Linked DNA regions of Elephas maximus indicus. The protein of the gene in region 1 binds, or shares a complex with, the protein of each later gene. Links are inferred from orthologs where the notes say so. Each region holds a gene or a part of one and is shown in the gene's direction. Other genes may lie near its edges. The genes, in order: cytochrome c oxidase assembly factor 1 homolog, TMEM186, CMC1 and SMIM20.

Region 1 (7,476 bases):
ATAGTCCATTCATTTTATTTTATCTTATTGCTCTGTGTAAATATACCACCATGTATTTATTTATTCTCCTGTCAATGAGCATTTGAATTGTTTCCAATTTTTTTTTCTATTTTGAACAGTGCTGCTGTGAACAGTCTTTTGTACATTTCCTGATGCACCTGTACAAAAGTTCCTCTAGGGTATATATTTAGAGTGGAATTAATTGGGTTGTAGGATATTGCAAGATATTCCAAATTGTGATTCAGGTTTGTTATACCAATTTACATTCCCATTGGCAGTATATGAGTGTTTCCAAATGATCTGTATCCTTGCCAACATTTGACATTGTTGTATTTGTTTATTTTTGACCAATCTGTTGGACATACAATGTTATTCTGTGGTCTTGATTTACACTTCCCTGATTAATAGTGATATTGAGCACTTTCGCATATGTTTACTGCCATTTGTCTTCTGTGAAATGTCTGTTTAATGGTTCTTATATGTTTGTTGGGTTGCTTGTTCTGATTGGTTTGTAGGATTAACTTAGACATTCTGGATACTATTGCTTGGTTATGAATATAAGAGTTATTCTCTCCCAGCTTAGGTTTTACTTTCTCTATACTGTCTTTTGATAAACAGAAGTTCTTTAATTTTTTTTTAAATAATATTTTATGTGTTTTCACTAAAGGTTTACACCCATTCAACAATTTCTTCACAAATTGTTCAGTGACATTGGTTACATTCTTCACAGTGTGTCAGCATTCTCAATATTTTTTGTTATGGTGGCTCTGTTTCCATTAATCTAATTTCCTTGTCCCCTTACATTCTCATCTTTGTTTTAAAGTAATTATTGACCATATGGTCTCATAGAGATCATTTTTTAAAGGAGCACAGTACTCATGGGTGATATTCTTTATTTTTGAGCTAATCTATTACTTAGCCAAAAGGTGACCTCAGGAGCTAGTTTTGGCTCTAGGTTTAAAGAGTATCTCAGGGCAGTAGTCTAGGTGAGTCTTCCAGTCTCATCTGGTCCAGTAAATCTTTTTTTTTTTTTTAGGAATTTGAGTTTCTGTTCCACATATTTCTCCCATTCTACCAGGGTTCATCTATTGTGGCCCTGATCAGAACAGCTGGTAGTGATAGCCAGGCACCCTCTAGTTCTTCTGGTCTCAGGGTAGATGAGGCCATGGTTCATGTAGACTATTAGTCTTGTAGTTTCTCCTTTGAGTCTTTGGCTTCCTTCTTTCTCCTTTGCTCTGAATGAGTATAGACCAATGTATGTATCTTAGATGGTCGCTTGCATGGTTTTAAGATCCCAGACACTATTCACCAAACAAGGATGTAGAGCATAAGCTTTATGAACTGTTGTTGTTAGGTGCATTTGAGTCCGTTCCAACTCATAGTGACCCTACGTACAACACGATGAAACAATGCCCAGTCCTGTACCATCCTCATAATTGTTCCTATGTTTAAGCCCATCGTTGTAGCCACTGTGTCAGTCCATCTCGTTGAGGGTCTTGCTCTTTTTCGCTGACCCTCTACTTTACCAAGCATGATGTCTTCTCCAGGGACTGGTCCCTCCTGAAAACTCATCTAAAGTACGTGAGACAAAGCCTCACCAACCTCGCGTCAAAGGAACATTTTGGCTGTAACTTCTTCCGAGACAGATTTGTTTGTTCTTCTGGTAGTCCATGGTATATTCAATATTCTTCACCAACACCATAATTCAAATGCATCAATTCTTCTTTGATCTTCCTTATTCATTGTCCAGCTTTCATATTCATATGAGGTGATTGAAAATACCATGGCTTGATTCAGGCTCACCTTAGTCCTCAAAGTGACATCTTTGTTTTTTAACACTTTAAAGAGGTCTTTTGCAGCAACTATGTTCTGAACTATATTATGCCAATTGACTGAGATGTCCCACAAGACAATGGTTCTAATCCTTTAAACCCAGGAAATCAATCCCGCAAGGTGTTTGGTTATGTCTAAGAAGTACCCGTAAGTGTGCTCCCTATTTGCTTAGAAGTTCTTTAATTTTAATGTAGTTAAATTCATCAGCATTCTTCTTCTTGATTAGTTATTTTTATGTGTTCTTTAAAAAATACACACATTTGAATTATGTTGTTGGCAAAGAATAATAAATATACTATGGACTGCCAGAAGAACAAACAAATCTGTCTTGAAAGAAGTACAGCCAGAATGCGCCTTAGAAGTGAGGGTAGCGAAATTTTGTCTCACATACTTTGGACATGTTATTAGGAGGGACCAGTCCCTGGAGAAGGACATCATATTTGGTAAAGTAGAGGGTCAGCAAAAAAAAAAAGGAAGACCCTCGACGAGATGAATTGACACAGTGCCTATAACAACGGGCTCCAACATAACAATGATTGTGAAGATGGCGCAGGACTGGGCAGTGTTTTTTTCTGTTGTACATAGGATTGCTATGAGTCGGAACTGACTCAATGGTACCTAACAACAACAACAACATCTAAGAGAATGAATAAAATCAAATGTAGTATATACATAGAGTGTAGTACCATGTGTAGCATGTATTAGTACTTCATTCTTTTTTATGGCTGAATATTATTTTATTGTATGTATATACCACATTTTGTTTATTCTTTCATCTGTTGCTGGATATTTGGGCTGTTTATTCTGTTTGGCTGTTGTGAATAGTCCTATTGTGAACATTCTTATACAAGATTTTATTTGAATATCTGTTTTCATTTCTTTTGGGTATGCACCTAGGAGTGAAATTCCTGGGTCATATGATAACTCTGTGTTTAACATTTTGAGGTACTACCAAACTGTTTTCCACAGCAGCTGTGCCATTTTTCATTTCTACTAGTGTTATACAAAATCTGCTGCTGTAGAGTCGATTCTGACTCATAGCGATCCTGTAGGGCAGGGTAGAACTGCCCCATAGGGTTTCCAGGGTTGTAAATCTTTTTTTTTTTTTTTTAAATAATTTTTATTGTGCTTTAAGTGAAAGTTTACAAATCAAGTCAGTCTCTCACACAAAAACCCACATACACCTTGCTACACACTCCCAATTACTCTCCCCCAATGAGACAGCCTGCTCTCTCCCTCTACTCTCTCTTTTCGTGTCCTTTTCGCCAGCTTCTAACCCCCTCTACCCTCTCATCTCCCCTCCAGGCAGGAGATGCCAACATAGTCTCAAGTGTCCACCTGATCCAAGAAGCTCACTCCTCACCAGCATCCCTCTCCAACCCATTGTCCAGTCCAATCCATGTCTGAAGAGTTGGCTTCGGGAATGGTTCCTGTCCTGGGGCAACAGAAGGTCTGGGGGCCATGACCACCGGGGTCCTTCTAGTCTCAGTCAGACCACTAAATCTGGTCTTACGAGAATTTGGGGTCTGCATCCCACTACTCTCCTGCTCCCTCAGGGGTTCTCTGTTGTGTTCCCTGTCAGGGCAGTCATTGGTTGTAGCTGGGGACCATGTAGTTCTTCTGGTCTCAGGATGATGTAGTCGCTGGTTCATGTGGCCCTTTCTGTCTGTTGGGCTCATAATCACCTTATGTCCTTGGTGTTCTTCATTCTCCTTTGATCCAGGTGGGTTGAGACCAATTGATGCATCTTAGATGGCTGCTTGCTAGCATTTAAGACCCGAAACGCCACTCTTGAAAGTGGGATGCAGAATGTTTTGTTAGTAGATTTTATTACGCCAATTGACTTAGATGTCCCCTGAAACCATGGTCCCCAGACCCCTGCCCCTGCTACGCTGGCCTTCGAAGCATTCAGTTTATTCAGGAAACTTCTTTGCTTTTGGTTTAGTCCAATTGTGCTGACCTCCCCAGGGTTGTAAATCTTTAGGAAAGCAGGCTACTGGGTCTTTCTCCTGCGGAGTGGCTGGTGGGTTCAAACCACTGCCCTTTTGGTATAGTAGCCAAGTGCTTAACCACTACATGCCACCAGGGCTCCTTCCACTAGTATATAAAGGTTCTTAGTTCTCCACATCTTTGCTGACACTTGTCATCTGTCTTTTTGATTATAGCCATCCTAGTGGGCGTGAAGTGGTATCTCATTGTGGTTTTTAGATTTACATTTTTCCTGATGTTGAGCGTCTTTTCATGTGTTTTTGAACCGTTTGTATAGCTTATTTGGAGAAATGTCTATTCAAATCTTTTGCCCATTTTAAATTGGGTTATTTTTTTCTTTTTATTATTGAGTTGTAAGTGTTCTTTATATATTCTGGATACACATCCCTTGTCAGATATACGATTTACAAATATTTTCTCCCATTCTGTGAGTTGTTTTTACTTTCTTCATGGTGCCTTTTGCAGCACAAGTATTTTTAATTCTGAATCCAACTTATCTACTTTTTCTTTTCTGACTTATGTTTTTGATATTGTATTTAAGAAACCATTGCCTAATGCAAGGCCATCGAGATTTACTCATATGTTAGAAAGGGACCTAACTTTTTCTTTTGGTATGTGGATATCCAGTTGTCCCCCACCATTTGTTGAAAAGACTATTCTTTTTATTGTATTGGTACTCTTCTCAAAAAAATCAACTGACCATAAATTTAGGGTTTATTTCTGGACTCTCGGTAGTTATTTTTAAATGGCAATTTCACTGTGGTGTTAATAGCTCATTGAAGAAATAATTATTAAGAATATCCTGTACACCGGGTGTTCTTCTAGGTTGTGGAGTTATAGCTGCGAACAAGGCAAAATCTTTGACTCCTTGCAATGTACATTTTCGTGGAGAATGAAAAGTGCTGTGAAGAATATAAAACACGTTGGGAGATTAAAGGATAGGTGTGTATATGTGTGAGGTTTACATTGCTTTTTTCACGTAGCCCTCTGTCTGTCTTTTAGGGCATTTAGCCCTTCCTGGGGTGGCTCAAACTGTTAGCATGTGTGTGACTACTAACCTAAAGGTTGGTGGTTCATACCCCCCCCCAGTGGTACCATGGAAGAAAGAACTGGTGATCTTCCATAAAGGTTCAAACCCACCAAGAAAATCCCGTGGACCAGTGCTAATCTGTACATACATAGGGTCTCTGTGAGTTGGAGTTGACTCAGCGTCCACAGGTTTGATCATACATTCATAATACATAAAATACAACTTTTTACATTCGTCTCATCTTCCCAACTAGCCTAAATACTTCTCTGTCACTCCATCATGTCTAGATATAATAGGTGCTCTGTGGGTATTTGGTGAATGAACAGATTAATAAGTTTAGGTAAATGTTTTATACACACACTTTCATATATAAACATACTTTTAAAATATACATGTTATTCAGAACTGTGAGGATAGTTTGGAAATAGGGAGTAGAATCCATTGTTTTGCTCTAGATTAGACCTTCTTTTTAGCTAGAATCCCAGACTGTCTGTCTCTGCTTCAGCCCAGACGTCTTCTTACCTCAGCTAGGATTCTGAACTCCTTTGCGTCCCCAGCTCAAGCAGTTTTCAGCCCTTGCTCTGTCCAGAGTGGGTGCTTCAGCACCTCTCTCCCTTCTTCTATTTCAATCAAGCAGTGAACCAGCATTTCAAGTTCTGAACGAAGACCAAAGTTGTGGGCAAGTCCCAGGTAAGAAGAGATTAATTGATGTGAAACTGACTTATATAACTACTTAATAATTTTCATGTGCTCAATTTGATATGTTGTAAATACGAAGATCTGACCTGATAACTCTATGTTTAACATTTTGAGGAACTCCCAAACTATTTTCCACAGCAGCTGTACCATTTTGTGGAGTTTTCCATGCAACTGCATCAATTTTCTTTGTAGCACCTTTCTTCCCCCTCTTCCTGGTTCATAGTGACAAAGTTTACTGCAGTTTCTCCCTAGTTTGTTTGTTCCTGATCCTGGTTATTGGCACTGTCACCCATCTCATCCTTTAAGGTGGTGCTGTGTAAGGCGCATTCGGTATGTTTAATAAGTATTTGTTAACGGAATGATTGAACGAATCAGGGTACTAATGAAGGCAGAACGCCTCAGAAATACTGAGCTTGAGGCCAGAGGCCTTGCCCGTTGTTATGCTTCTTCTCACAACCAACTCTGCTCCTGAAGTTGTTTGAAAGCACACATGTCTGAATAGGGCTGAGATTTTGCATCTTTTTTTTTTTTTTTTTTCCTGAAAGTAGAAGAGAGTGATTCATGTGAATGTTTATTTACTTAAGGGATAATTTCCTATTTAAACCGTAGCAAAAGGAGCCATTGTGGCGGTGTTTTTTTTTTTTTTTTTTAAATCATTGAGTGTAAATGATTTCCTCCAAACTGCAGAATCCTTAATTATTGATTTTCTTCCATTTCCGTTCACTCTACTGTCTTTTACGGTCTTTTAGCTTGGGGTCTGAAGCAGAAGGCTTTGTGATCTGAAGTCAGTCAGACATCCAGCGTAGACCGAGAGCTCGGATCTGTGGGGGACAATGTCTCGGCTCCCCCCTTCCGTTGACGCCGTAGTTCACAGTAGTCACATGATGAGTGGTTGTTGTTGTGTTAGTTGCCGTGGAGCTGATGCCGACTTGTGGAGTAGACTGCTTCGTAGGATTTTCAAGGATGTGTCCTTTCAAAAGCAGTTTGCCAGGCCTGTCTTCCCATGCCCCTCTCGATGGGCTCCATAGAAGGGGTTCACTCACGACAGTAACGTGTAAAACTCCCAGTGCAGGGCCAGTGTGCGGGGGGTACTCAGTGAAAATTGATTCCTTTTTCCTTTCCTTGTTTTTGGATTATAGAGTAATTTAGTGTCAGAGTGGAATAAAGCTTACAGCCAGCCTCAGAAGAATATTGTGAAGTGAGTAGTTCCCATATATGACTACACATATTCCCGATAAATTTGCAAGAAAAGAAAAAGCCATGTGAGAACTTTTGAATTTGGAAGTACTTAAAAGTTAAGTGGAAATAAAGATTGAGGACAAGAAGGGAATACTAGCAGACTGATAAATGTCTGTTGATTTAAACTGACAGGAGGCCTGTTCTGCTTTATGCCATATTCCTCTCTGCTGTCTGGAGAGCTGCTCCCAGGTGATGGCCAGCCCTGGAAGCTGGGCTGTTGAAGCTGTTCATAAATGTACAGCAATATTCACTGTCAAGTCAGTGATTTGACTAGAGGTGGAACAGGGAGGAGAGGTTTAACAGCATCAGAAGTCATTAAAGTCAAATGTCATATACACTTTAGAAAAGTTTTAAAAATTGGTTAATGTTTTTGCCCTTATTTCAAGTCATCAGTTTGTTTGATTTTGGCGTTTTTTGAAAGAGATAGAGTAATAGTACAGAAGAAAAGAAGTGCCCTCTAATTTTAACCATCTGTGTATTTGTTCAAGATTATACACTGAAAAAAGCTAAAGTGTAATTAAGACCAGGAGTATACAGTAAGTAGAAGAAAAGGGCTGTGCTTCTGTTGACACTGAAACGTCGGATTGTGCAAAGTAGCAAGCTGATTCCACAGTGATGAAAATGCAAATGCAATAACCTGTCAAGATCATCTGGAGAAAAAATTGTGCTTTTTCCCACAGTGTGCA
Region 2 (7,757 bases), on another chromosome or scaffold:
CAACAACTTCTTCATTGCAAATACTTTTTTTCACCAACATAAACAGTGACTATATAACACGGACGTCGCCAGATGGAATACACAGGAATCAAATCAACTACATCTGTGGAAAAAGACAATGGAAAAGCTCAATATCATCAGTCAGAGCAAGGCCAGGAATCAACTGCGGATCAGACCATCAATTGCTCATATGCAAGTTCAAGCTGAAACTAAAGAAAATTAGACCAAGTCCACGAGAGCCAAAGTACGACCTTGAGTATATCCCCCCTGCATTTAGAGACCATCTCAAGAACAGTTTTGATGCATTGAACACTAATGACTGAAGACCAGATGAGTTGTGGAATGACATCAAGGATATCATACGTGAAGAAAGCAAGATATCACTAAACAGACAGGAAAGAAAGAAAAGACCAAAATGGATGTCAAAAGGAAAAAATGATGAAGTAAAAGAGCTGAGCAGATTTCAAAGGGTGGCTTGAAAAGACAAAGTATTATGATGACATGTGCAGAGACCTGGACATAGAAAACCAAAAGGGAAGAACATGCTCAGCATTTCCCAAGCTGAAAGAACTGAAGAAAAAATTCAAGCCTTGAGTAACAATACTGAAAGATTCTACAGGGAAAATATTAAACGACGCAGGAAGCATTCAAAGAAGATGGAAGGAATACACAGAGTCACTATACCAAAAAGAATTGGTCGACGTTCAACCATTTCAGGAGGTAACATATGATCAGGAACTAATGGTACTGAAGGAAGAATTCCAAGCTCCACTGAAGGCACTGGCAAAAAACAAGGCTCTGAGAATTGACAGAATACCAACTGAGATGTTTCAAGAGATGGATGCAGCGCTGGAAGCACGTACTTATCTATGCCAAGAAATTTGGAAGACCTACCTGGGCAACTGACTGGAAGAGATCCATATATATGTCTATTCCCAAGAAAGGCGACCCAACTGAAATGTAGAAATTACCAAAAAACATCATTATCACATGCAAGCAAAATTTTGCTAAAGATCATTCAAAAGCGGCTGCAGCAGTATATCGACAAGCACTGTCAGAAACTCAAGTCGTCTTTAGAAGAGGATGTGGAACCAGGGATATCACTGCTGATGCCAGATGGATCCTGGCTGAAAGCAGAGAATACCAAAAAGATGTCTACCTGTGTTTTATTGATTATGCTAAGACACTCGACTGTGTGGATCATAATAAATTATGGATAACATTGCAAAGTATGGGAATTCCGGAACACTTAATTGTGCTCATGAGGAATCTGTACATGGAGCAAGAGACAGTTGTTCAAACAGAACAAGGGGATATTGCATGGTTTAAAATCCAGAAAGGTGTGCATCAGGGTTGTATTCTTTCATCAGGCCCATTCAATCTGTATGTTGAGCAAATAATTTGAGAAGCTGGGCTATATGAAGAAGAACGGGGCATCAGGATTGGAGGAAGACTCATTAACAACCTGCGTTATGCAGATGACACAACCTTGCTTGCTGAAAGTGAAGAGGACGTGAAGCACTTATTGATGAAGATCAAAGACCACAGCCTTCAGTACAGATTACACCTCAACATAAAGAAAACAAAAACCCTCACAACTGGACCAATAAACAACATCGTGATAAATGGAGAAAAAATTGAGGTTGTCAAGCATTTCATTTTACTTGGATCGACAATCAACACCCATGGAAGCAGAAGTCCAGAAATCAAGACACATTAAGACCTCTTTAAAGTGTTGAAAAGCAAAGATGTCACCTTGAAGAACAAGGCGTGCCTGACCCAAGCCATGGTGTTTTCAATCGCATCATACGCATGCGAAAGCTGTACAATGAATAAGGAAGACTGAAGGAGATTTGACGTCTTTGAATTATGGTGTTGGGGAAGAATGTTGAACATACTATGGATGGCCAAAAGAACAAACAAATCTGTCTTGGAAGAAGTACAACAAGAATGCTCAGTAGAAGCAAGGATGACAAGACTTTGTCTCACATACTTTGGACATGTTATCAGGAGGGATCAGTCCCTGGAGAAGGACATCACACTTGGTAAAGTAGAGGGTCAGCAAAAAAGAGGAAGACCCTCAAAGAGATTGACAGTGGCTGCAACAGTTGGCTCAAGCATAGCAACAACTGTGAGGATGGTGCAGGACTGAGCGGTGTTTCGTTCTGTTGTGTACAGGGTCGCTATGAGTCAGAACCGACTCGAGTGCACCTAACAACAAGTGACGTGTGCAAAGCCCTGGAGTCCATTCTAATTAGTTTTTATGTTTTTAGCTCGGTCCTTGTTTCAGCAGTGCAAGTCTTCTGCTTCTGGATTTTACTGCACTTATCAGTTTGCAAATGCATGTAATGATGAAGAGAAAGACTGTATGATGAATAGCTCTTTTGCGAAAAAAATTTTACCTAGAGCACCCAACACAGAAACAATTCTCTTTTAAATTACAGAGTTTATTTATTTGAGTGTAAAAATAATTTACGGTTACTGCAAACAATATCATGTTTCAAATGTCTTAAGAGAATACGTTGTAGGCTACCTAACCTGGTTTCTTTGCTATTTCGTACTTTATACTTAAAAAAACCCATTGCTGTCAATTCAATCCTGAGATTCCTATTCAGTGACCCTCTAGGACAGAGCTGAATTGCCCCATTGAGTTTCCAGGGAGCGGCTGGTGGATTTGAATTGTCGATGTTTTGTTTAGCAGCCTAGCAGCCATAGCACTTAACTACTATGCTTAGTTATTCTAATTCTTTTTGGAAATCCAAAGCACTTTCCTGAACAGCACATTCAGAAACTGAAACACCTTCCACTTTAGCACAGTGGTAGGAAATGGCAAAAGTGGCAAATAACAATACCCCGAGACCCAGGGACTGACCAGGTCTACTGTGAAACCGAGAAGGTCATTGCTTCACTGGGTCTCAGTTTCCTTAAACGTAATATGGGAATAACAACTACCCTTCCTGAGGTGGAAGAGGGAGGAAGGAAGGGTTGAAAGGGTCCAATGATAAAGTCTAAGTCTTGGAAATGTAAACCCTAGACCCAGGGATAGACAAACTATAGTCCACCAACCAATCGGAACTGCTGTTTGTTTTTATGAAGTTTTATTAGAACATGGCCATGCCCATTCATTTACATATGGTCTGTGGCTGCTTTTGCAGAGCTGAGTAGTAGTTACTACAGATCATATGGTCCACAAAAACAAAAATTTACTATCTTGCCCTTTACAAAAACAGGAATTCCCCAATTCCAGACAATTACGTACTCTTAATAGCCCATAAACGGATGATCACTGGACCTCAGAGCCAAAAAGGGCCCTTGGAAACTTGCACTCCCAGATTTTGCTGTTACAGGCAAGAATAGGTTTCAGTTAAGAAAGATCAACATCCTCACAGGCACCATATGTAAGAGGTAATGTCCCCATTTAAAGGGGCAGATGCTGAGGCTCAGAGAGGTTAAGTGACTTGCTCAAGGCCACACAGCTGCCAAAAAGTGAAGCTGAGGCTCAGGTAGGTCTGTTTAACCCAGAAACCTGTATTCTTAAGATCAGCCTACATGGCACAGCTTATGGGTGGCAGGAGGAGGGTGGTGCACAGTTGGTCAGGGGCCTGAAGACCAAAACCAAACCTAAGCCGTTGCTGTCGAGTAGATTTCGACTCATAGCGGCCCTGCAGGACAGAGGAGAACTGCTCCACAGGGTTTCCAGGCCATCGGTACCCAGGGTTGGCAATGAAAGTCCAGAACTGGACTTCCCAACCCAGTGCAAGTTCTCTACCCTCAAGGGTTTTTCGGTCCCATCTCATCTCTTCGAGCACCCTGACGTCTTAAAGAGCTGGGTGACTTCCTTCGCATCCCTCCAGGCACACAGAATAGAGTTCAGCACCCCAGGAAGAGTGGGCAGTCATTAACCGACCGTCGGTGGTCCTTAGCCGCCCCCTGGCGCCTACCCGAGGCGATCTTTAGCCCAATCGGGACCCATCAGGGGGCCCCGCACCGGCTGCCGCCAGTTCGCTGGGTACCGCCTACCTGCCGCGGGGCCGTCAGCGTCCCGTCCACATCGAAGAGGCACAGTGCTGGGCCGGTAGCCGCCATATCTCCAGTCCCGCACGCACCAAACATGACCCGTTGGCACCCGGAAATCGACCGGAACTTCCGGGTTCGGCACCCGCGCCGCAGGGCACGCCGGGACGAGGAGACTAGGCTCTCACAATGCCTGCAACTCGCCTCAGCCACTAGCGCTGAACCACAAGTCCCAGAACACAACACACTCCTGAGTTTCCCGTAGTATGAGCATGCGCTCCTAGAGGTTCCGGGGGCAGGCGGTATTCACTTCCGGCAGCGACTAGCGGGGCTATGGTAAGAAGGAGTGTGGTGGGGGTTGAGGAAGGTGACGTGCTTTCGGGGTCGGGGTCAGGGCTTAGGGCAGGCATGCAGGGCGCCTGGGTGTCTCAGTCTGAGAGTCCGCGGAAGGAAGTTCCGGCATGGGGAACGGTTTTCTGTTCCCTGTGTCCTGAAGTCACATGGACCACTGAAAACGGGATAGCTAAAATTCACTGAGCGTTCACCGTGCATCGGTGTGTTGAGGGCTTTAAAACCATAGTCTCATTCAGTAGGCCCAGAATCCCCATTTTGAAAGATGAGGAAACTGAGGCTCAGAGAAGTTGAGTAACTTGCCCAAGGATACACAGCTAGTGACCATTGGGGCCAGGATTGGAACCCGGATCTGGCTCCAAAGCTCTTTCCACTGCACAAGGTTGTAGAACTGTGCACCTAATAAAATCTTTGCGCCTTGTGTTGGGGCCTCCCTTCCCCTCCTCTGCTGTTTCCCCTTCCCTGAACTAGGCTAAGAGAAAACAGCAGTTCCCTCCAGTACCCAAGCTAACTCAAACCTAACCTATTTATAGTGATAGCTGTCTCATGGATTTATTTTCTAGTTCGCCACTAGGACATCGATTGCTTAGTTTTCCTGCTTGGGGAAATGTTCGCGAAGACTTGTGGATCCAATGCCCAGCCCGGAGTTGGCCCACCCTGGGTATTTGTTGAATGAATGAAGGCTGGTCCGTTTTTTCTGTACCTACTTGGAACAGTTTAAGGGTCAGACACTGCCCCATTCACACTTGCCGTGTGTCCTTGGGCAAATTTCTTACCCTCTCTGGCCTTAGTTTCCTCAGTGATAAAGTGGAAGTAATGGCAACTATCTCATAGTTGTCATGAAGGTCTGGCTTTACCTTTCCCTCCATCTCTGGTGATACCAGAGACCTCCCAGAATTGTTGGGAGCCTCCGTGGGACCTGCTTTGCAAATGTTTATTGTTTGATTAGCATGGTTTAGTTCCATGAGAGAAACGGTTTCTTGTCTCCCTTCCAGGCTGCCCTGCTCAGAGCAGTGACCCAGTGGCAGAGGGTAGCTGCCTGGGGGAGGCCGCTCCATGGGCTGTGCTGCAGTGCGCGGGATCCCAGGAGGTGGGTGGGAAGCAGACCACCCACCTTGAAGGAGACACCATCAGACACAGAGACGGAGAAATTCCAGATGGTCTACCGGTTTGGTGCCATCAGAGTCTTCGGATTCCTGTCTCGGCTGAAGGTGGCACAGACGGCCCTGACGGTGGTGGCCCTGCCGCCAGGCTTCTATTTGTACACCCAGGGCCTGATGAGTCTTGGCTCCCTGTGCCTCATGGGTGGGATAGCTGGCTTTGCCCTGGCCATGCTGTACTGGATGAGCCATTTCTTCCGGAGGCTGGTGGGCATCTTGTACGTGAATGAGTCAGGCACGGTGCTGCGGGTGGCCCACCTGACCTTCTGGGGCTCGCGGCAGGATACCTGCTGCCCCGTGGCTGATGTGATCCCCCTCATGGAAACTAGGGACCGGCCCCAGGAGGTGTTCGTCCGTATCCAGCAGTACAGTGGGAAGCAGACTTTCTACCTTAGTCTGCGCTATGGATGCATCCTGGACAGAGAACGATTCACACAGGTGTTTGGGAGAGTGGACATGCCCAGATAAACTCCTGGAAGCTGGGCTTCCAGGTATCCCTGGGCCACCTGGATCTCTAACAGGAAGGCTGACAAAGAGGAACAGGCAGCTGGAGACTTTGCCAGGGCTCCTAGGAACTTTATGGTGACCCCATGTGTGCAGAGTAGAACTGTGCTCCATAGGATTTTCAAGGCTGTGACCTTTCAGAAGCAGATCAGCTGGCCTTGCAGTCACCATGAGTCAAAATCGACTGGATGGCAAATAACAACAGCAATCCAGGAACTTGTCTTATGGGATGAAGAAATTCATGTGGCAAAAGCTAGTAACCAGGTTTAATAAAAAGGCCCTACGTGCAAGTTCTCACTGCACTTGTGGATAATGTTCAAATAATGGCCAGAAACTTCTCGTAAGAGCCAGTTCTTGGAGGAAGCTGTCTCACGTTCACCCAAGCAGTGCACTGCTGTGGAATCAGAAGGCAGAGTGGTGTGGCTGGGGAGCACCGGATTTGGAGTCAGAAGACTTAGGTCATCTGAACCTTGGTTTTCACTCTGTAAAATGGGGAGTCCCGCCTGTCTCATGAGCTGGGCGGGAGAATAAACAAGTGTCAAAGTGCTTTCCGGACTCAACAGCCCTGAGCAAATGTTGAGCATTATGTCAGAGGTTAGGGCTCTGTGAAAGGCTTCCAGGTGATCGGACAGACTTCCTGAGCCCTGTGCTGTGTCCACTCTGTGTGTCCAGCAGCAGAAGGGACTGGCAGGAAGCCTAGGACGGGGCCACATCTTTCTGCCAGGCTGGTAAACTGCACACTGAATGGCAGGGGTGACATCCAAGCAAACGCAGCAGCCCCTTGGGATTTTGTTCACCACCCAGAGGTATGAGGTTCCCACATTCTGAAGGTTTCATAGTGTAATAAAGACTGATGAACTAGATGCTGATACGCTGGTGCATTATTGATAAACAAAAGCCAATTATAAACCAGTAACCAGTTTCCAACGCTGACTCATGGTGACCCAATGTGTCAGAATAGAACTGTGCTTCACAGGGTTTTCAATGGCTGGTTTTTTAGAAGTAGATCGCCAGGCCTTTCTTCCAAGGCACTTCTGGGTGGACATGAACCTCCAACCTTTCAGTTAGCAGCCAGCCAAGTGCGTTAATCATTCGTGTCACCCAAGGACTCCGTTAGACAAACATGGAATTACAAATGTGGACAAGTAGAGTGAAAGAAGAGCAGGATGGTCTGAGGGAGATGAGCAGCAGGGGCATGATGGGAAAAGGGCACAAGAGGCCCTGGGGAAGGGACATTTCAGCGGAGACCTGAGTGTTGTAGGAGGCAGACACAGTTTGTTTCAGGCTGAAGGAAAAGGGAGTGTGAGGTTCTAAGCTGGGGAAGAGGAGGAGGCCCCTCTGGTGAGAGTGGAGGGAGGGAGGGGAAGGATGGACCAGGAGAGGATGCTGAATTTTATTCTAATCACTGTAGGAAGCTCTCGAAGGAGGTCGGAGAAAGGAGAGACAGCAGGGAAAGACAGTTTGGGAGCTTTTAAGAAAAGGGAGCACTACCTTTTCGTTTTCATTCACTTTAGAAATGCAAATGAAAGCGCACAGCCTTACTGATTTGTTTCAGTCATTAAATTCCCATCAGATGTTAATTCCTGTCAACAAGAGCAAGGTGGGCAGGCTGGGGAGTGTGACGGGCGTCCTAGGATGTTCGGAGGCACCAGGCACCTGCTGCCTGTCAGGTCCGTGCACTCCCCAACAGTGGGGTTCTCCTGCCTGGAGGGGCTGTGTATGTGGGGG
Region 3 (8,391 bases), on another chromosome or scaffold:
ATGCTAGCAAGCAGCCATCTCAGATGCATCAATTGGTCTCAACCCATCCGGGTCAAAGACGAATGAAGAACACCAAGGACACAAGGTGATTAGGAGCCCAAGAGACAGAAAGGGCCACGTGAACCAGCGACTACATCATCCTGAGTCCAGAAGAACTAGATGACGCCCAGCTACAACCGATGACTACCCTGACAGGGAACACAACAGAGAACCCCTGAGGAAGCAGGAGAGCAGTGGGATGCAGACCAGACTTAATGGCCTGACTGAGACTGGAAGGACCCCGGTGGTCATGGCCCCCAGACCTTCTGTTGCCCCAGGACAGGAACCATTCCCAAAGCCAACTCTTCAGACATGGATTGGACTGGACAATGGGTTGGAGAGGGATGCTGGTGAGGAGTGAGCTTCTTGGATCAGGTGGACACTTGAGACTATGTTGGCATCTCCTGCCAGGAGGGGAGATGAGGGTGGAGGGGGTTAGAAGCTGGCGGAATGGACAGGAAAAGAGAGAGTGGAGGGAGAGAGCAGGCTGTCTCATTAGGTGGAGAGTAATTGGGAGTGTGTAGCAAGGTGTTTATGGGTTTTGGTGTGAGAGACTGACTTGATTTGTAAACTTGCACTTAAAGCACAATAAAAATTATTTAAAAAAAAATAGAGGCTATTGTAATCATTTAAGTGAAAGTGGATAGACCTTGGACTACAAGTTGTTACACTGTAGTTGGCAGGTGAAATAAAGATATGTTACGAAAGTAGGTCTGAGTGGATATTGTAATTAATGGCATGTGGGGAATGAGGGACAGACAGGAGGATAGGTGGACTGATCCAGATTGAAGCAGGCCCTATTCAAATATCAGAAAAACAGGACAAAACATATTGCTCTGGGGAGAGGATAATGCTAGGTCAGTTGCCAGGACTAGCCAAGTGAGTTGGGATTCAGAGAAGGGTTCCAGTCCTAGTAAAGGTTTTGAGTGCTACCCTGGATCAAAGTCCGTTTACATGGAGAAGACACAGGCCATGAGGGCTGTGAGCTATGTTATGCAGCTCAGAAAGCAGGCAGGGCCTCCAGGAGCCCTAGAGTCTTCTAGCCAAAAACTCATTCCAAACTCCATCCACTGGTAGGAATGGGTCTTCTACTATTCGTCCAGAATTGATTCTCATTGGCTCAAGGACAGAGCAGAGCAGAACTACAGGTGGAAAGTCTTTAATTCTGATGCTAGGCAAAGTTGGAAGCAAGCAGGGACTCAATTTCAAAAAACAATTACCTGGATATTAGCATCTAGTAAAAAAGAATGCTAGATCTAGTCAAAATTGAAGTGATAAACAAGATATTCGTTTCTACTTACATATTCCCAGGATATTGTTGTTGTTGTTTTAAGTGCTGTTGAGTTGGTTCCAACTCGGAGAGACCCTATGTACAACAGAATGAGATACCATCTGGTCGTGTGCCATCCTCACAATCATTGCTATGTTTGAGCCCATTGTTGCAGCCACTGTGCCAATCCATCTCATTGAGGGTCTTCCTCTCTTCGCTGACCCTCTGCTTTACCAAGTGTGATGTCCTTCTCCAGGGACTGGTACCTACTAGTTACATGTCCAAAGTACATGAGACAAAGTCTCTCCATCCTCGCTTCTACGGAGCATTCTGGCTGTACTTCTTTCAAGATAGATTTGTTCATTCTTCTGGCAGTCCACGGTATATTCAATATTCTTGGCCAACATCGTAAATCAAATGCATAATTCAAATGCATGTTTCCTCAGTCTTCCTTATTTACTGTCCAGCTTTCACATACGTATACAATATTAAAGAATATGTGATATTAAGAAATATACATATGTATGAGTGTATATACATGTATATATACACATATACGTACAATCATAGATATATGTTTAAATGTCCAGTCTACTAAATACCTCACTTCTCTTTGCCTTCACAGACTCTTGTGATTCAAACAGTGTCATCGTTCCCTGTGTTTACTGCACCAGCCTCCTAACTTGTTTCTCTGTCCCAGTATTTGCCCCCATCAATAAGGATCAAGGGCACGTCATCTGAGTTGAGGTCTAAATGGGCCCATTGTTAGGATTTTCTTATTTGTCTGTGAGCATTTACCAAGGAAAGGAAACCCCTGGGGAATCCTTCTTGGCTGCTTGTCTTATTCTCCTCAGTCCAATTATAAAGTATGGATTCTTCCTTCACAATTACTCTTACACCCATCTTTTCTTTTTACATTTCTATACTTCCTAGTTCAGCTCCTTATCAGATTCTGCCTGAATTACTGCAATAACTTTCTCACTCCTCTGCTTACCTCTTGGCTCTCTACTGGTCAGCTAAATGCCATTTTTTTTTTTTTTTTTACTTTTTAACCTTCAGCAGCTTTTGAGTGCTTGTAGCAACATATTCAAACACTCTCAACCTAATGTTTAAGGCTTTGGGAATCTGGCCTCTTCTAACATTTTCAGTCCCACTATTTTTATCCCAGCTTCCTGAATCCTCAAACTCGTTGAAGTCGCCTTAAGACATTTCTTCTGTTTTCTACCGCCAATCTATTATCTGTGATTTAACTTTCTTTTTAAGGTGTCCTGGTGGTACAGTGGTTAAGCGCTCAGCTGTTAAGGTCAGCCAAGCCACCAGCATCTCCACAGATGTGGCAGTTTGCTCCCCGAAAGATTACAGCCTTAGAAACCCTATGGGGTCGTTCTCTGTTCTATAGTCACTATGAGTCCGAATCAACTACAATGAATTTGGTTTATTTTGTTTTGTTTAACTTTCTTTTTATGATTTATCTTCCCCAGTTATATTACAAGACAGTTTCCTGCAAACTATCTAGTTTTATACGAGAATGGAGAATGATATACTAGTTTTTTTTTTTTTTTTTTAACCAGGCATTGAGGAGACCTGGTGGCATAGTGGTTAAGAGCACGGCTGCTAAGCAAAAGGTCAGCAGTTCAAATCCATCAGCTGCTCCTTGGAAACCCTATGAGGCAGTTCTACTCTGCCTTATAGGGTCACTATGAGTGAGAATCAACTTGACAGCAACAGGTACCAGGCATTGAATTAGGTCCCCGGATGGCACAAACGGTTTATGATTGTCTATCAAGCAAAATTGGTTCCAACCCACCCAGTGGCGCTACAGAAGAAAGGCCCGGTGGCCTGCTTCCCTAAAGACTGCAGCCAAGAAAATCCTATGAAGCTCAGTTCTACCCTGTAACACATGGGGTTGCCAGGAGTTGGAATCGACTTGAAGGCAATGGGTCTGGTTTACCAGTCATCGAGGTGTTACTTTCGCTGGTGTCTCCTTTAGTGTGATATGCCCAGTAGTCCATTTTGTGGGGTATAGAAACCCATGATTTTATAGATATTCTTGCTTAAGATAAAGCTAAAGTGAGTTGATTTAAATTTAAAAAAATTAGTTGATAATGGTTATGGCAAAAATTGCTTTAGTGGTCCTCAAACAACTGAAATAGAGATGTGTATCACATTTATTCCTCACAACAACCTTGTAAGTTAGTAACTAAAGTCCAGAAAAACCTTGGAACTCATTCATATCATAAAGCTAACAGGCTGTTATGCAGGATTCACCTTCAGGTACTCAGATCTCAACTGAAGCTCTCCACAACTTCTCCCTTTACCATGATGCCCTTCTGGATAAACAAAGATTTGGTTTAAATTCTTGAGTGCGGGAACCTGACTTGTGTTTTTATAAAACTCATTACCTCAAAAAGATTTTCTTTCTGAATTAAATCCTTTACCTCCAGAAAAAAAACAAAAAGGGCTCCAGAGTGAATTTGGGGTATTCCTTATAAAAATATACAAGGAAAAGGACCCGCTTTCCTGCCTGAGTGCAACATTAATTCCTTACCTTGGCACCTCAAACTGCAGCCGTAATAAGGGCCGTTATGCCCAAATAGGCCCTTAAACGGAAGACCTGCTGAGCAGAGACACACTTTCCCAGCCCTGCTCAACTGTGGCAGCTTTTGCTGCCAACTGACCAGGCGGAAGCAGCAGCAGGGGAGGAGGCACCGCAGGTAGGCGTGGAGGGGATCATTCTGAAAGCTTTAAATCCCTTGCAGGGAAGAAGCAGCTGCTCCTTGTTTTTCCAAACATCTGTCCCATCTGTCCCTGACTGCACTTCACCCTTTGGAGGCCCCAGCTAGTTAAACATGGGCTTGACAAGGTAGACCTTCTGAAGGCTGGTTGGTGAATGAGAATGGGTATCGTGTCACCCAGAACGTTTCTGCCACGAAGAGGGCAGTGGGGAAGGATTTAAGGAGGATGTAGTGACCACTCAGAATGGGATGTACGCCCTGAGTATATTATTTCACCAAATAGAGGTACCCCTAGCATCCTCATTTTTCTTTTAACCTGCAGGGAGGCCCAGGCTGTTGCTTAGGGGGTAAATTACGAAACTGCATACAGGTCTATGGTAGAAGGTGCTGTGCACATCTCGCGCGTGTGGCTCGGGCCTGATCCCCTGCCAACACTGTGCTCCCCGAGAATAGGGACAAACCTTTTCAGTCAATTATTTTCCCCCAGCACGCAGGACCGAGCCTGGCCCCTGGCAGGCGTGAAATAAGACATTTATGAATGAGTGAACGTTAACAAGGAATAATCAATGAAAGGAATCGGGCGATTCTCCGAAAGCGGGCATGGGAGGTCTCGGACTCTGACCTAATCGCCGAAGGCAGCGCAGTCCCCAAGGCCCGCAGCTCCGGCTCCGGCCACCGCAGACCAGGGTCAGCCACCACGTGCTCGCGCTCCGCCCGAACCCGGGCTGCGCGCGCTGAGACGGCCCCGCCCCCAGGGCGCGCGCAGCCACGCCCCCTTCCCAGGGTCCTTCCCTACAGAAGTCGGCTCCACCGCGGAGGGCGCCAGGGCGAGGGGCGGGGCCAGCAGCGCGCAGGCGCAGTGGCGGCGGAAGTAGGAACTAGAGGAGGAAAAGGGCTTGGCCCGGCTTCGCGGAGGGCGCTGTGCTCCTCCTCCTCTTCCTCGTCACGCGGGAAGCTCCCCGCGGCCGCACGTGCAGTGGAGCCGAAGCTCCGCCCCCCCGCCCCCTGCCCCTGAGCCGCCGCCGGGCTGCCTCCTTGTCTGCCCGCCGAGATGGCGCTCGACCCCGCAGGTACGGGGACAGGGAGCGGGCGTCACCGAGGGGCCTCGGGCCGGGTCTCAGCCGCGGGCGTGCGGACTCGGGCGGGCCTGGGGAGGGGGCCGAGCCGCGGGTTTGCGCTCCGTCCGCAGACGCCACCCCCCGCCCTGCGGATGACTGAGGTTCTCTGGGCGCCCCCGGCTTCCGGGGGCGACAGGTCCGCTTCCCGCGCCCGGGGGCTCGGGTTCGGTGCAGGGCGCAGGGTTCGTGGTCTGAACACACGTCCGCTGGTGACTTGCAAACATTTTCCTCCCTAAGTCGGCATCGTCTTGGCTCTCGGGGGCACAGACTTTGGAACACTTAACGTCCGGTGCAGAAAAATTTCGCCAGTCCTTGGGGAAGCACGGTTTTATGTTGGCTTTCAGGACTTCACAGATTCCCAGTTCACGCTTGGTGCCAACTTAACAGTTCCGAGGGTCTAGTCGCTGCGGCAAGAGGTCGTTTCTTTAGAAAGGTTCCCTGAAGTCTTGACGGATGTTTCTTGATTTTCATGCTGCATTTGCAGAAGTCGTTTCAGTTCCCCCCCTTACAGAACCTCACCAGCAATATCTGCTCTAGGCTGTTTATGTGAGGGTATAGGTCTAGAGGAGAGCTTGGGTGGTGCAAAGGTTAACACTCAGCTGCTAACCTTAGGGTTGGAGGTTCGAGCCCCACCAGAGACGAAAGGCCTGGCGATCTGCTTCCAAAAAAATCAACCGTTGAAAATCCTGTGCAGCACGATTCTACTCTGACACCCACGGGATGGCCGTGAGTTGGAATCAGTTCTTGGCAACTGATTTAGTTTCTTGGGTAGGGATGTAGAGCTTCATTTTTGGACGCAGTGGTAATTCATCTAGCCCATTCGCTTCATTTGATGGATACCAAAACTCAAGACACTGGGAGGTGAAATGACTTCAAACCTTTAGAAGTTCAGAAATGAAAAAGACACTTTTATGCCCTGAAAGAGAATGTAAATTTGTATAATGCACAAATAATACATTTATCGAGCACTTTAATATCAAGCCCTTTTCTAAGTATTCTAAATTATCCAACAATAGTACATAGTGTATGGGGCAGTTCTACTCTGTTCTGTAGGGTCTCTATGAGTCAGAATCGACTCCATGGCAACTTTTTTTTTTTTTTAGGGTATGCAAATACAATTATCTCCATTTTACAAATTAGGAAGGAAACTCAGGCTCAGAGCGGTTAAGTTACTAGTCCACGTAGGCAGTGGTCAAATCAGGGAATACTCTAGTATGAAGCATAAAGAAGTTAGAAGGAACACATAGCTATGGTACTGATTTTGGGCCAGGTGATTTCATCAGGCTTAATGAAGCAGTTAGCAGTTGATCTGGGGCCTCAAAGAATTTCTCATGGTTAGAGTTGGAGAAGAGGCAGCCTAATGAGCAAAAGCATAGGCATTAAAGTGCACTGGTGGTGCAGTGGTTAAGAACTCAGGCTGCTGACCAAAAGGTCAGCAGTTTGAATTTACCAGGCGCTCCTTGGAATCCCTGTGGAGCAGTTCTTCTCTGACCTATAGGGTCACGTGGAGTCCGTGCCAATGGGTTTTTACATATGGATGAAACAGATTCAGAGAGGTTAAAGGCTTGATGCTCTTGAATTTAGAAAGTTAAGAAAATGGAAAAAAAAATCTTATGTTTGTTGTCTCTACTTTCTTACCTTCCAGCCACACCCGTCTTGTGTGTCCAAGACCTTGTAGCTAATTTCCGTTAGCGCCAACTCTGTATAGAACCCAGGTAATTGCGATCCTAGTCTGGCACTGTAGACAGTGCCTCTGTTCAAGTATTCATTGATTTAACAAATACTTGTTGACTGCCTGGTATATGCCAAATATTGTTACGTTGCTGTGTGCCATCAAATTGATTCCGATTCATAGCGACCGTATAGGACAGGTTAGAACTGCCCCATCAGGTTTCTAAGGAGCGACTAGTGGATTCAAACCGCCAACCTTTTGGTTAGCAGCCTAAGCTCTAACTGCTTTGTTATAGGAAACAATGGCGTATAGGACAGACAAGATCTATAAGGTGGGAGGTTCAAGTCCACCCACTGTTTGCTAGGGCCTGTAACAATACCTGGCATATACTGGGTATTCACCATAAAGCTTGTATTCTAGTGTAAAAGAAAGAAAACAAATAACTCCTCTCCCCCTTTACAGATTGTGGTAAACATGAAGAAATAAGCAGGGTTCTAGTGAAGAGACGGCTGCTTTTAATAGAGTGGTCAGTGAAAAGCACTATGAAGAAGTGTCATTTGAATTAGAATCTGGAGGATGAGAGGAAGCAGCTATGTGAAGAGCCAGGGAAAGAGTATGCTGGGCAGTGGAAATAGCAAATGCTTCAAATACTGGGCTAGCATGTATGGCCAGAGTACAGAGGAGCTCCAGAAGGAAGGATGTTGGGAAAATAGGCTAGACCTCCATGCCGCAGGGCCTTGTGGGCAATGATAAAACATTTGGATGTTTTCTGATGTTATCAGAAGCCTTTGGGGACTTTTAAAAAGAGCTGTGACGCCATTTATGTCTTTAAAATATTACTCTGACTGCAGTGGTACAGTGGGTTGTAGGCAGGTTTTGAGTAGAACCAAGGAGACAGGTTAAGAGACCGTAGCGGTAGGCCAGGTCTGTGGGGATGGAGAGAGATGTAAGGATTCAGTATACATTTTGGAGGAGAAATTGATAGGACCTGCTGCTGCACTGAATAAGGTGGTGAGGGAGAAGGAGAAATTACGGATAATTTCTAGGCTTTATACTTCAGCAACTGGTTGGATGGCAGTGGTCAGATCCAACAACATGAAGGTCATTGAAGACTGACAAAAACAGGGATAGAAACGAAACTGGAGTGGATTAAGAAGGGACAGTAGGAAAGTGGAGATGGCAAGTGTGAAGATGTTTTTCCAAATTTCCTTGTCTAAATTCAAGAACAGAAATGTATTGGAGTGATTTTTTTTTTAATAGATTTTTGTTCATAAATTGGAACGTAGGTTCACATTTTGCTGTTTTACTGCTTTTTACAATCCACAGTAGTATATGTCCACATTGAGTAGATAAGTGTCTGGATACAAAAACAAAACCCACTACCGTCACGTTGGTTCTGAACCATACTGAGCGACTCTATAGGACGAAGTAGAACTGTCCTGTAGGATTTCCAAGTAGCAGCTGGTAGATTCGAACTGCTGATCTTTTGGTCAGCACCTGAGCCCTTAACCACTGCTCCACCAGGCTCCACAGTCTGGATAGTTATGCCAAATGAAG
Region 4 (8,212 bases), on another chromosome or scaffold:
TAGCGACCCTACAGGACAGAGCAGAACTGTCTCATAGGGTTTCTAAGAAGCGCCTGGTGGATTAGAACTGCTGACCTTTTGGTTAACAGCTGTAGCTCTTAACCACTACGCCACCACCTTTTCCAGGCAACACAAGCTTGCTGAATTTGCAAGACAGTGTAGATTGGTGGTTAAGAACAGATCTCTGGAGCCAAGCAACCTGAGCTCGAACCCCGGCTCTGCCACTTACTAGCCATGTGGCCACTGGCAAGTCTTTCTTGCTTGCGCCAGCTTCCTGATCTGAATATGAGGAAACTTAAGTATTTGTACACAGACATTGGTCGGTACTGCAGGAGTAAGCCAATGATAATGACTGGCACAAACAAATGTTCTACAAGTCTTGATATTGGTATTGATGACGAGTGCGTTGTTGTTTGCTGTTAGGTTGCAGTCGAGTGATTCTGACTCCTGGCGACCCCATGTGTGCAGAGGAGAACTGCTCCATAGGGTTTTGAAGGCTATGATTTTCAGAAGCAGATCGCTCGGCTTTACTTCCTAGGTACCCCTTGTGGCACGCAAACCAAACAGACTTGGACTCCAAACTTTTGGTTAGTAGCCCAGCACGGCCCCTGATTTACAGTCCAACCAACAATGCCAAGCTGAGAGGTCATCCTCCAAAAAGAAATCAGATGCTAACATTAGGGGAGGCTGAGTGATCAAAAGGAAATTACAATCTACTGCCACATCTTATTCCTACGCCAGGAGGACAACAGGCTGTGCTATGCTACTCACTGCCGCATCCACCCGGCGTCTGCTTGGCTCCGCCTGGGACAATGGACACGTTTGTCGAATACACAAATGTTGAACCATTCCTTTTTGTGTTCCCAAGCAGCTATTACAGTGCTTTGCCTGGAGTAAGCACACAATACATTTTTGTTGATTCAATTCACAGATTAGTAGAGAAATAAAACTTGAGTGAGTGTGGTTTTCTCAGAAATGGGCAGAAAACACAATGATCCAAAAGATGGACTTAAAAATTTGGTAGAACTTGGTGACAGGCAGTGGCAGGTAGCTGTTTTTTGGTGTGATAATGATAATCTGTACAAATGGCATAGATGGGCTAATCGTTTTTGCTGGTCAGGCTAAAGCCTTTCGATTAGCATTAAGGGGTCACAGAAACCATCACTTGTCACACCACTTTGAAGAGGGGGTGGCTCATCTGCCGTACGGGTCCTGGGCTGTGCCTTGGAGGTACTCTTTGTATCTCATCAGTCAGTACCAGCTGCCATCGAGTCAACTCTGGCTTGTGGTGATCCAATGTGTGTCAGAGTAGAATGGTGCTCCACAGGGTTTTCAATAGCTGATTTATCTAAAGTGGATTGCCAGGCCTTTCTTTCAAGGTGTTGCTGGGTGGGCTCAAACTTCCAACATTTTGGGTAAGAGTTGAGCGCATTAACTGTTTGCACCACACAGGGACTCTGGTACCTGACCAGGACACCCCGTTATCCTGGCACTCGCAGTACTGGCCCACAGAGGCACCATAAACAGGGCCATCCTACCAAGCTTGTTCATCAAGAAAGCAAGGAGTCATGGAGGAGCACTTCAGATGAGTCATCATGAGTCTCAGCCCTGGTCCTAGCTTAGTCAGTGCTGTGTACCCTGAGAGGGAGTTCAGATCTCTGGCTCACAGTGACCTGGACAATAAAACAGGGTAAGCCTTGACTTGCAGCTTATGGGGATGTTAGTGAATAAGATCACATCTCTCTGTTGTAAAAGACCCAAACCCAGTGCCGTCAAGTCAATTCCTACTCATAGCGACCCTACAGGACAGACAGCAACTGCCCCATAGGGTTTCCGAGGCTGTACTCTTCATGTAAGCAGACTGCTGCATCTTACTCCCGTGGAGCGGCTGGTGGGTTCCAACCGCCGACCTTTTGGTTAGCAGCTGAAAGCTTAACTACTGCACTACCAAGGCTCTTATAAAAGACAGAGTCCAACATTCTTACTCATGTGAAGAGGAAATTTTACTGGCTTATGTTACCGAGAAGTCCAGGAGTAGGACTACTTCAGGTATGGCTGGCTTCAGGGGCTCAATCCGTGGTTTCGCTTTCCATGGTTTCAGTTACCTGTGGTATGAAAATGTTAAATGAGTAGTGTGACTGCATTCATATAACTTTTATTACAGTACACTGTTATAATTGTCCTATTTTATTATTAGGTATTGTTATTAATCTCTTACTATGCCTAATTTATAACTTAAGCTTTATCATAGGTATGTATGTATGTATAGGACAAAACATAGTATACATAGTGTTTGGTACTATCCTTGGCTTCAGGCATCCGTGGGGGTCTTGGAACATATCCCTGTGGATAAGGGGGGACACTAGTTTGTCTCTAAACTTTCCTTCTGCTGTACTGACTTCATTCTCAGTCTCTAAATGGTGTCCTCTACGTCTCATCCTCTCAAGTTTTAGCCAGCTTTCATGGTTGGTCATGTGGCCAGGAGGGTGCCTATGGCTCGGGAGCTTGGCTAGGCTTGATTACACGCTTACTCCCGGAGCTCGGAGGCAGTAAGGATGAAAGGTAGGGGGCTAGACAGGGAAGGGCCCCAGCTCACTCCAGGGACTGACACTGGGAGAGGAGTGCTTTCCCCAAAGATATTAGGATACCATAAACAGAAAAAGGAGCCCTGGTGGTACAGTGGTTAATAACTGGACTGCTAACTAAAAAGTCAATGGTTCAAACCCACCAGCCACTCCACAGGAGAAAGACGTAGCAGTCTGATCCCGTAAAGATTACAGCCTTGGAAACCCTAGGGTGCGGTTCTACTCTGCCTTATAGGGTCACTATGAGTTGGAACTGACTTAACAGCAGTGGGTTTGGTTTGGTTTGTTAACAGAAAAAAGAGCCTCCGGGCAGCGCAAATGGTTAAGCATTTGACAAGTAACCAAAAGGTTGGCAGTTTGAACCCACCCAGAGGTGCCTCAGAAGAAAGGCCTACAATCTGCTTCTGAAAGGTCACAGCCATGAAATTTCTATGGAAAGCATTTCTACTAGGTAACACATGGGGTCTCCATGAGTCAGAATCCATGGCAAGTGGTTTGGTTTTTATTAACAGAAAAAAGGGAAGTGGATGCTGGGTTGTTAAAATGACACACGTGCACCACCATGCCTGGGTATTTTATATCATCTAATACACAGCATGTATCACAGGCTCCCTGTTTTCCATGAACTCTTCTGTCCTCACCCTTACAGTCTTTTCTAGGTGCCTGAGGAGCAGCCGCCTCACCCCCATCATCTGTCTCCTCCTCTGAACTTCAGCAGCCCGCAGTTCTGTATCACTCTTCTGCAATAGGCTGCAACAGGGCTCATCAGTTATCTTTTTGTGTATGTGGCCGGTCCCTTTATCTACGCCGCAAGATCCTGGAGAGCAGGGGTCACATCTTATTCCTGTGTCCCCCGTAGCACTTTGCCTGGTGTCTGGGGGCGTGGTAGAGAGTCCACACATCTGCTGGCAAAAAGAACAACTGATTTGTATGCTTCCAGAACCTAGGAGGTAGATAGTAACTTGATTCAACCACAGAACTACAATTAAAAAAAAAAGAGGAAACCTGTACTCTTCACATTTCTGGAAGATCTTAGATCTTTTTTGGACTAAATAATGCTGCTGGGTCAAGATAAACATGCTGTTGCCCCCCAGCCCTAGCACCTGGTATCATCCTTATTTATAGGGGATAGAGTAGAGGCTTTGATTCTATAGGAAGGTGCTGTGGGCCTGGGAGAGAGACAGATGCCCGCTATACCTAGAAGCAAGGTCTTTGATCTGGTGGAAGTATGTGAATTGTTTACTACAGATGATCAGGTAAGCAAGGTAAGCGTTGGGCTTACCTGGCCTATTAGATAATCACCCCTGGTCTCAGGTTTCAGAATCCCCCCTGGGGGCCAGCCTGGGCCAGGCAGTTTGCCCTTGTCTCTATAACTAGTTGCTGTCAAGTGGACTCCGCCTCATGGCAACTGCCTGTGTCTGAGTAGAACTGTACTCCGTAGGGTTTTCAATGCTGATTTTTTTCGAAGTAGATTGCCAGGCCTTCTTCCCAGGTGCCTCTGGGTGGACTGGAACTTGCAACCTTTCCATTAGCAACCCAGCCGTTAACCCTTTGCAGCACCCCCCCCCCCAAAAAAAAGCGTGGCCGTGCAGTTGATTCCGACATATAGCGACCCTATAGGACAGAGCAGAACTGCCCTATAGAGTGTCCGAGGACTCGCTGGTGGATTCGAACTGCCAGCCTTTTGGTTAGCAGCCAAGCTCTTAACCACTGGGACGCCGTAGTCCCCACAAGCCTTTAAGGAGGCTACGTGACTCTGCAGAAACAGCGCAGCCGAGCCGTGGTTTCCTCACCATAAAATGGGACTACAGATAGGAGGATTGAACAAGTCACCCATAAAGAGCATTCTGCTCCTGGTGCAAAGCCACTAAAAACTAATCAGTGGGGTGAAGAACCAGGAAGCGTGGTGGGTAATGGAGGTCCGGAGGATAGTGGGTGGCGCGGCTGAGAGGGGAGCCAGGACCAGGGCAAGGAAGACAGCAGAACAGGGCCCGCGGGAACCCAGCACAGCAGCACCTCCACTCCTAACCCGTCACCTGCGCTCGCCTGCGCAGCGCACAGACCGAGCGAGGGGGAGGCGGGGCGTAGGTCCAAGGCCCGGCCCATGCCCCGCCTCTAGCCCCACCCTTGCCCCAGGTCCCGCCCCTGCCTCACCTCCTCCTAGACCCTGCCGGCACCCGCCCCGCTTTCTAGCCCCGCCCCCAAGGCCCGGAAACGAAAGCCAGTTCTCCGCTTCCGAGCGGGGTCACGACCCGGGCGCTAAAGCGGGGATTCCGCGAGTGCCGGTTGCTCAGCGGGCCAGGGCAGCCCCCAACCCAGCACCATGTCCCGGATTCTGCGCACTGTGCTCATTTTCGGCGGTTTCGTTTCCCTGCTCGGCGCTGCCTTCTACCCCATCTACTTCCGGCCCCTAATGCGGCTGGAGGAGTACCGTGAGTGACCTCTGACCCCGCGCGGTGGCCTGGCCCCAGTAACACCCCCACCTTTCTCAGCTCCACGTGGTGCGGTGGAAAGAACTCGGCTCGGGAGTCGGGCGGACCCGGGTTCGAGCGCTGTGCAGCTTTGTGACCGTGGACAAGTGCTTAATCTCTTGGACCCTCAACGTTCTCATTTATAAAACAGGGATGATAGTATAAATAACTGCCTCTGGAGGCTTTAGTGAGCTCCAAGGTGGTTAGTGTATGTGAAGGCAGCCTGCACATAGTAGGTCTACAGCAAATGCTGCTTAATACTCATTTAAGGTTTCCTGAGTGGTGCGAACAGTTAAGTGCTTGGCTACTAACTGGTAGGTTGGCGGTTCATACCCACGCAACAACTTCTGGGATACAGGCTGGCGATCTACTTCTGAAGGTTACGACCTTGAAAACCCCATGGAGCCCTTCTACTTTTTACTCAGGAGGTCGCCATGACTCCTAATTTACTCAATGGCAACACCATTCAGCATTCAAAAACCAAAGGAGCAAACCCGATGCCCTCAAATCATTTCCGACTCATAGCGACCCTATAGGACAGAATAGAAGGGCCCCACGGGGTTTCCAAGGCTGTAAATTTTTACGGAAGTGGACTGCCACATCCTTGGCCCTAGAGAGCGGCCGACGGGTTCCAATCACTGACCTTTCTCTTAGCAGCCGCACACTTAACCACTGCACCACCAGGGACTGTGTTTTAATTAGCATTCACTGGCAGCCTGTCATGTGTCAGGTTAGGCATACATTTGATTGTTTAATTTCCACAACATTAATAGGAGATAGGTACTACTCCGTTTTACAGATGGAGTATTGAGGCTCAGAGAGGTTGTATGACGTGCCCAAGGTAACAGCTAGTAAATGGCAAGGTCACAAACCAGGCCTTTGTCTCCAGAGTCCCCCATCTTCCACATCCTGAAGCTGGGAACGATGATTGGGGGGGGCAGATAGAACCCCATATATTCTGTACCTAAAGGTGTTTTTATTACACTTCATTTACATTCCTGCAGATGTCTTTGAGTGGAAATGTTCAAACCTAAACTGTTAACCAGGGTTTTGAGTTTTTCCTCTCCTTTTGTTTCAGATCTTTTTTTCAGATTCTGCAGGCTTCCTTAGTTTTAAGCTGATTGCTCACATGACAATGGTGAATATCCTGGGAGTAATTTTCCTCCTTAATCATTCAAGTCCTATCATTCGAAAAGCCAAACTCTCCTTCCCGGAGACTTACACCTCAGCAAGGATTAGCGCTTTGATACATCTGAAACCATCTGTCAGAGAGAAAATATTAGGCATTAGAGGCTCATTTTGTTCTTCAGGAAACCTGAATCATCTTGAAGATGGAAGAGTGCCAGCCATGCCCCTTGAGAATCTTAGCAGAGGCTGAAAGCTGGGCGATTTGAAGGCTAAAGCCCCGTGTAAATGTTCTGCCCATTACAAATGCTACATTTGGTTTCTGGAGACATAGCGTTTTAAGTACACCTCAGATTTTCTTGCAGCTTTTTCATCAGCCGAGACTGAACTGACACCCGTGCATTCTGTCTTCCAGCCTATCAGCGTGCTTCTTGCATGGGGCGGGGGGCTGGGGGGGGGGGGTGTTGGTCAGGAAGGGACTGTCTGAAGCCTTGAGTAAGCTATTTCTATTGCCCTTCCTCACTTGGTCTCTGCCCCAGGCTGTTTTATTATGATCTTTAGAGTTGAATTTGGGACCACGGGGACCTGCTGTGGATCCCCTTAGGAAAGTTTCAGTTATGAAGACTAAGTCAGAGGTTCTCAACTGGGGGTGATTTTGCCCCTCGGGACATCTGGGTCTATCTGGATACACTTCTGGTTGTCACGACTGGGGGAAGGTTGTGAATGACGGCTGCATCTATGGGGTGGACGCCAGGGATGCGGCTAAACTTTCTATAGTGCACAGCCACTGAAAACAAAGAGTTACCGGGCGCAAAATGTCAGTGGTGCTGAGATTGAGAAATCCTGCCCAGATCTGATGACCAAGGCGTGGGTTTGAGCTGTGACTCCCAGCAGCAGTCTAACAGGGCTACTCCAGAATCTCTGGTTGTCAGACTTGGTCAGTTGAGAGAGACAAATCAGGTCCTTTAGGGAAACATTTAGTGAGCGTGGCCAGAATACCTGCATTTTGAACTGGACAGGAGCCTACACCGGCCCACTTTTCTGGTTCAGTTTTAATTACTTTGGCCAAACCTTGGAACTAACTGCATCTTCCAACGTGTGGATAATACTGACCTACTGGAAGTTTTTTTTGTTTACTGGAAGTTTACTGCACATCTGGTCCTTTTCTAAGCACCAAACCAGCTGCCATCAGGTCGGCTTTGAATCGTGGCGACCCCATGGGTGCCAGGACGTGCTCCACAGGGCTTTCAGTGGCTGGTTTCGGGGAAGCAGATCACCAGGACTTTGTTCTGAGGTGCCTCTGGGTGGGCCTGAACCACCAACCTTTTGGTCAGCAGCAAGCACGTTAACCATTTGCAGTACCCAGGGACGGCTCATTTATGTTTAAAAAAAAAAAAAAAAAACCTGTTGCTGTCGAGTCGATTCTGACTCATAGCAACCCTATAGGACAGAGTAGAACTGCCCAATTGAGTTTCCAAGGAGCACCTGGTGGGTTAGAACTGCTGACTTTTGGTTAGCAGCCTTAGCACTTAACCACTGTGCCACCAGGGTTTCCACGTGTATGTTAACCCATTTAATTCTCCTAAAAACCCTCTGAGGTGGCTGCCATGTGATCATCATCCCCATTTTATATGTGGGCAAACTGAGGTGTGGGACCGTTAGGTCGCCTGCACGAGAGCCCACAGCTGAAGAGTCACAGATGTGGAATTTGAACAAGTGCTCTTAATGGCTGCACCATGGCACCAGACTGGCTCTCTGAGAGGGTAAGAGAAGCCCTGGTGGCACAGTGGTTAAGTGCCAACTGAAAGGTTGGTGGTTTGAACCTATCCAGTGGCTCCATCTAAAGATTAACCCATTAAAAACCCATTGCCATCGAGTCGATTCTAACTCATAGCGACCCTATAGGATGGAGTAGAACTGCTCCATAGGGCATCCAAGGACGGGCTGGTGGATTTGAACTGCCGACTTTCTGGTTAGCAGCTGAGCTCTTAACCACTATGACACCAGGGCGCCTCTGTAAAGATTTCAGCC

The links.
Region 2: cytochrome c oxidase assembly factor 1 homolog (region 1) and TMEM186 share a complex: the UniProt entries of both Homo sapiens proteins name them as parts of the mitochondrial complex. The link is inferred for Elephas maximus indicus from reciprocal best matches to the Homo sapiens genes COA1 and TMEM186.
Region 3: cytochrome c oxidase assembly factor 1 homolog (region 1) and CMC1 share a complex: the UniProt entries of both Homo sapiens proteins name them as parts of the MITRAC (mitochondrial translation regulation assembly intermediate of cytochrome c oxidase complex) complex. The link is inferred for Elephas maximus indicus from reciprocal best matches to the Homo sapiens genes COA1 and CMC1.
Region 4: cytochrome c oxidase assembly factor 1 homolog (region 1) and SMIM20 share a complex: the UniProt entries of both Homo sapiens proteins name them as parts of the MITRAC (mitochondrial translation regulation assembly intermediate of cytochrome c oxidase complex) complex. The link is inferred for Elephas maximus indicus from reciprocal best matches to the Homo sapiens genes COA1 and SMIM20.

What each region holds. Positions count from the first base shown.
Region 1 is NC_064826.1:106,440,829-106,448,304, reverse strand, and holds the start of cytochrome c oxidase assembly factor 1 homolog, read left to right. Parts: upstream 1-4,316; 5' UTR 4,317-4,714; coding exon 4,715-4,764; intron 4,765-5,486; coding exon 5,487-5,542; intron 5,543-7,476. UniProt on the Homo sapiens protein: Component of the MITRAC (mitochondrial translation regulation assembly intermediate of cytochrome c oxidase complex) complex, that regulates cytochrome c oxidase assembly.
Region 2 is NC_064830.1:66,919,161-66,926,917, reverse strand, and holds the start of TMEM186 (transmembrane protein 186), read left to right. Parts: upstream 1-4,326; 5' UTR 4,327-4,347; coding exon 4,348-4,350; intron 4,351-5,360; coding exon 5,361-5,993; 3' UTR 5,994-7,757. Other genes in the region: PMM2 (phosphomannomutase 2), read right to left, coding at 4,021-4,113. UniProt on the Homo sapiens protein: As part of the MCIA complex, required for efficient assembly of the mitochondrial complex I.
Region 3 is NC_064845.1:11,504,756-11,513,146, reverse strand, and holds the start of CMC1 (COX assembly mitochondrial protein homolog), read left to right. Parts: upstream 1-4,917; 5' UTR 4,918-5,095; coding exon 5,096-5,114; intron 5,115-5,774; exon of another isoform or gene 5,775-5,888; intron 5,889-8,391. UniProt on the Homo sapiens protein: Component of the MITRAC (mitochondrial translation regulation assembly intermediate of cytochrome c oxidase complex) complex, that regulates cytochrome c oxidase assembly.
Region 4 is NC_064823.1:137,137,361-137,145,572, reverse strand, and holds the start of SMIM20 (small integral membrane protein 20), read left to right. Parts: upstream 1-4,788; 5' UTR 4,789-4,908; coding exon 4,909-5,017; intron 5,018-8,212.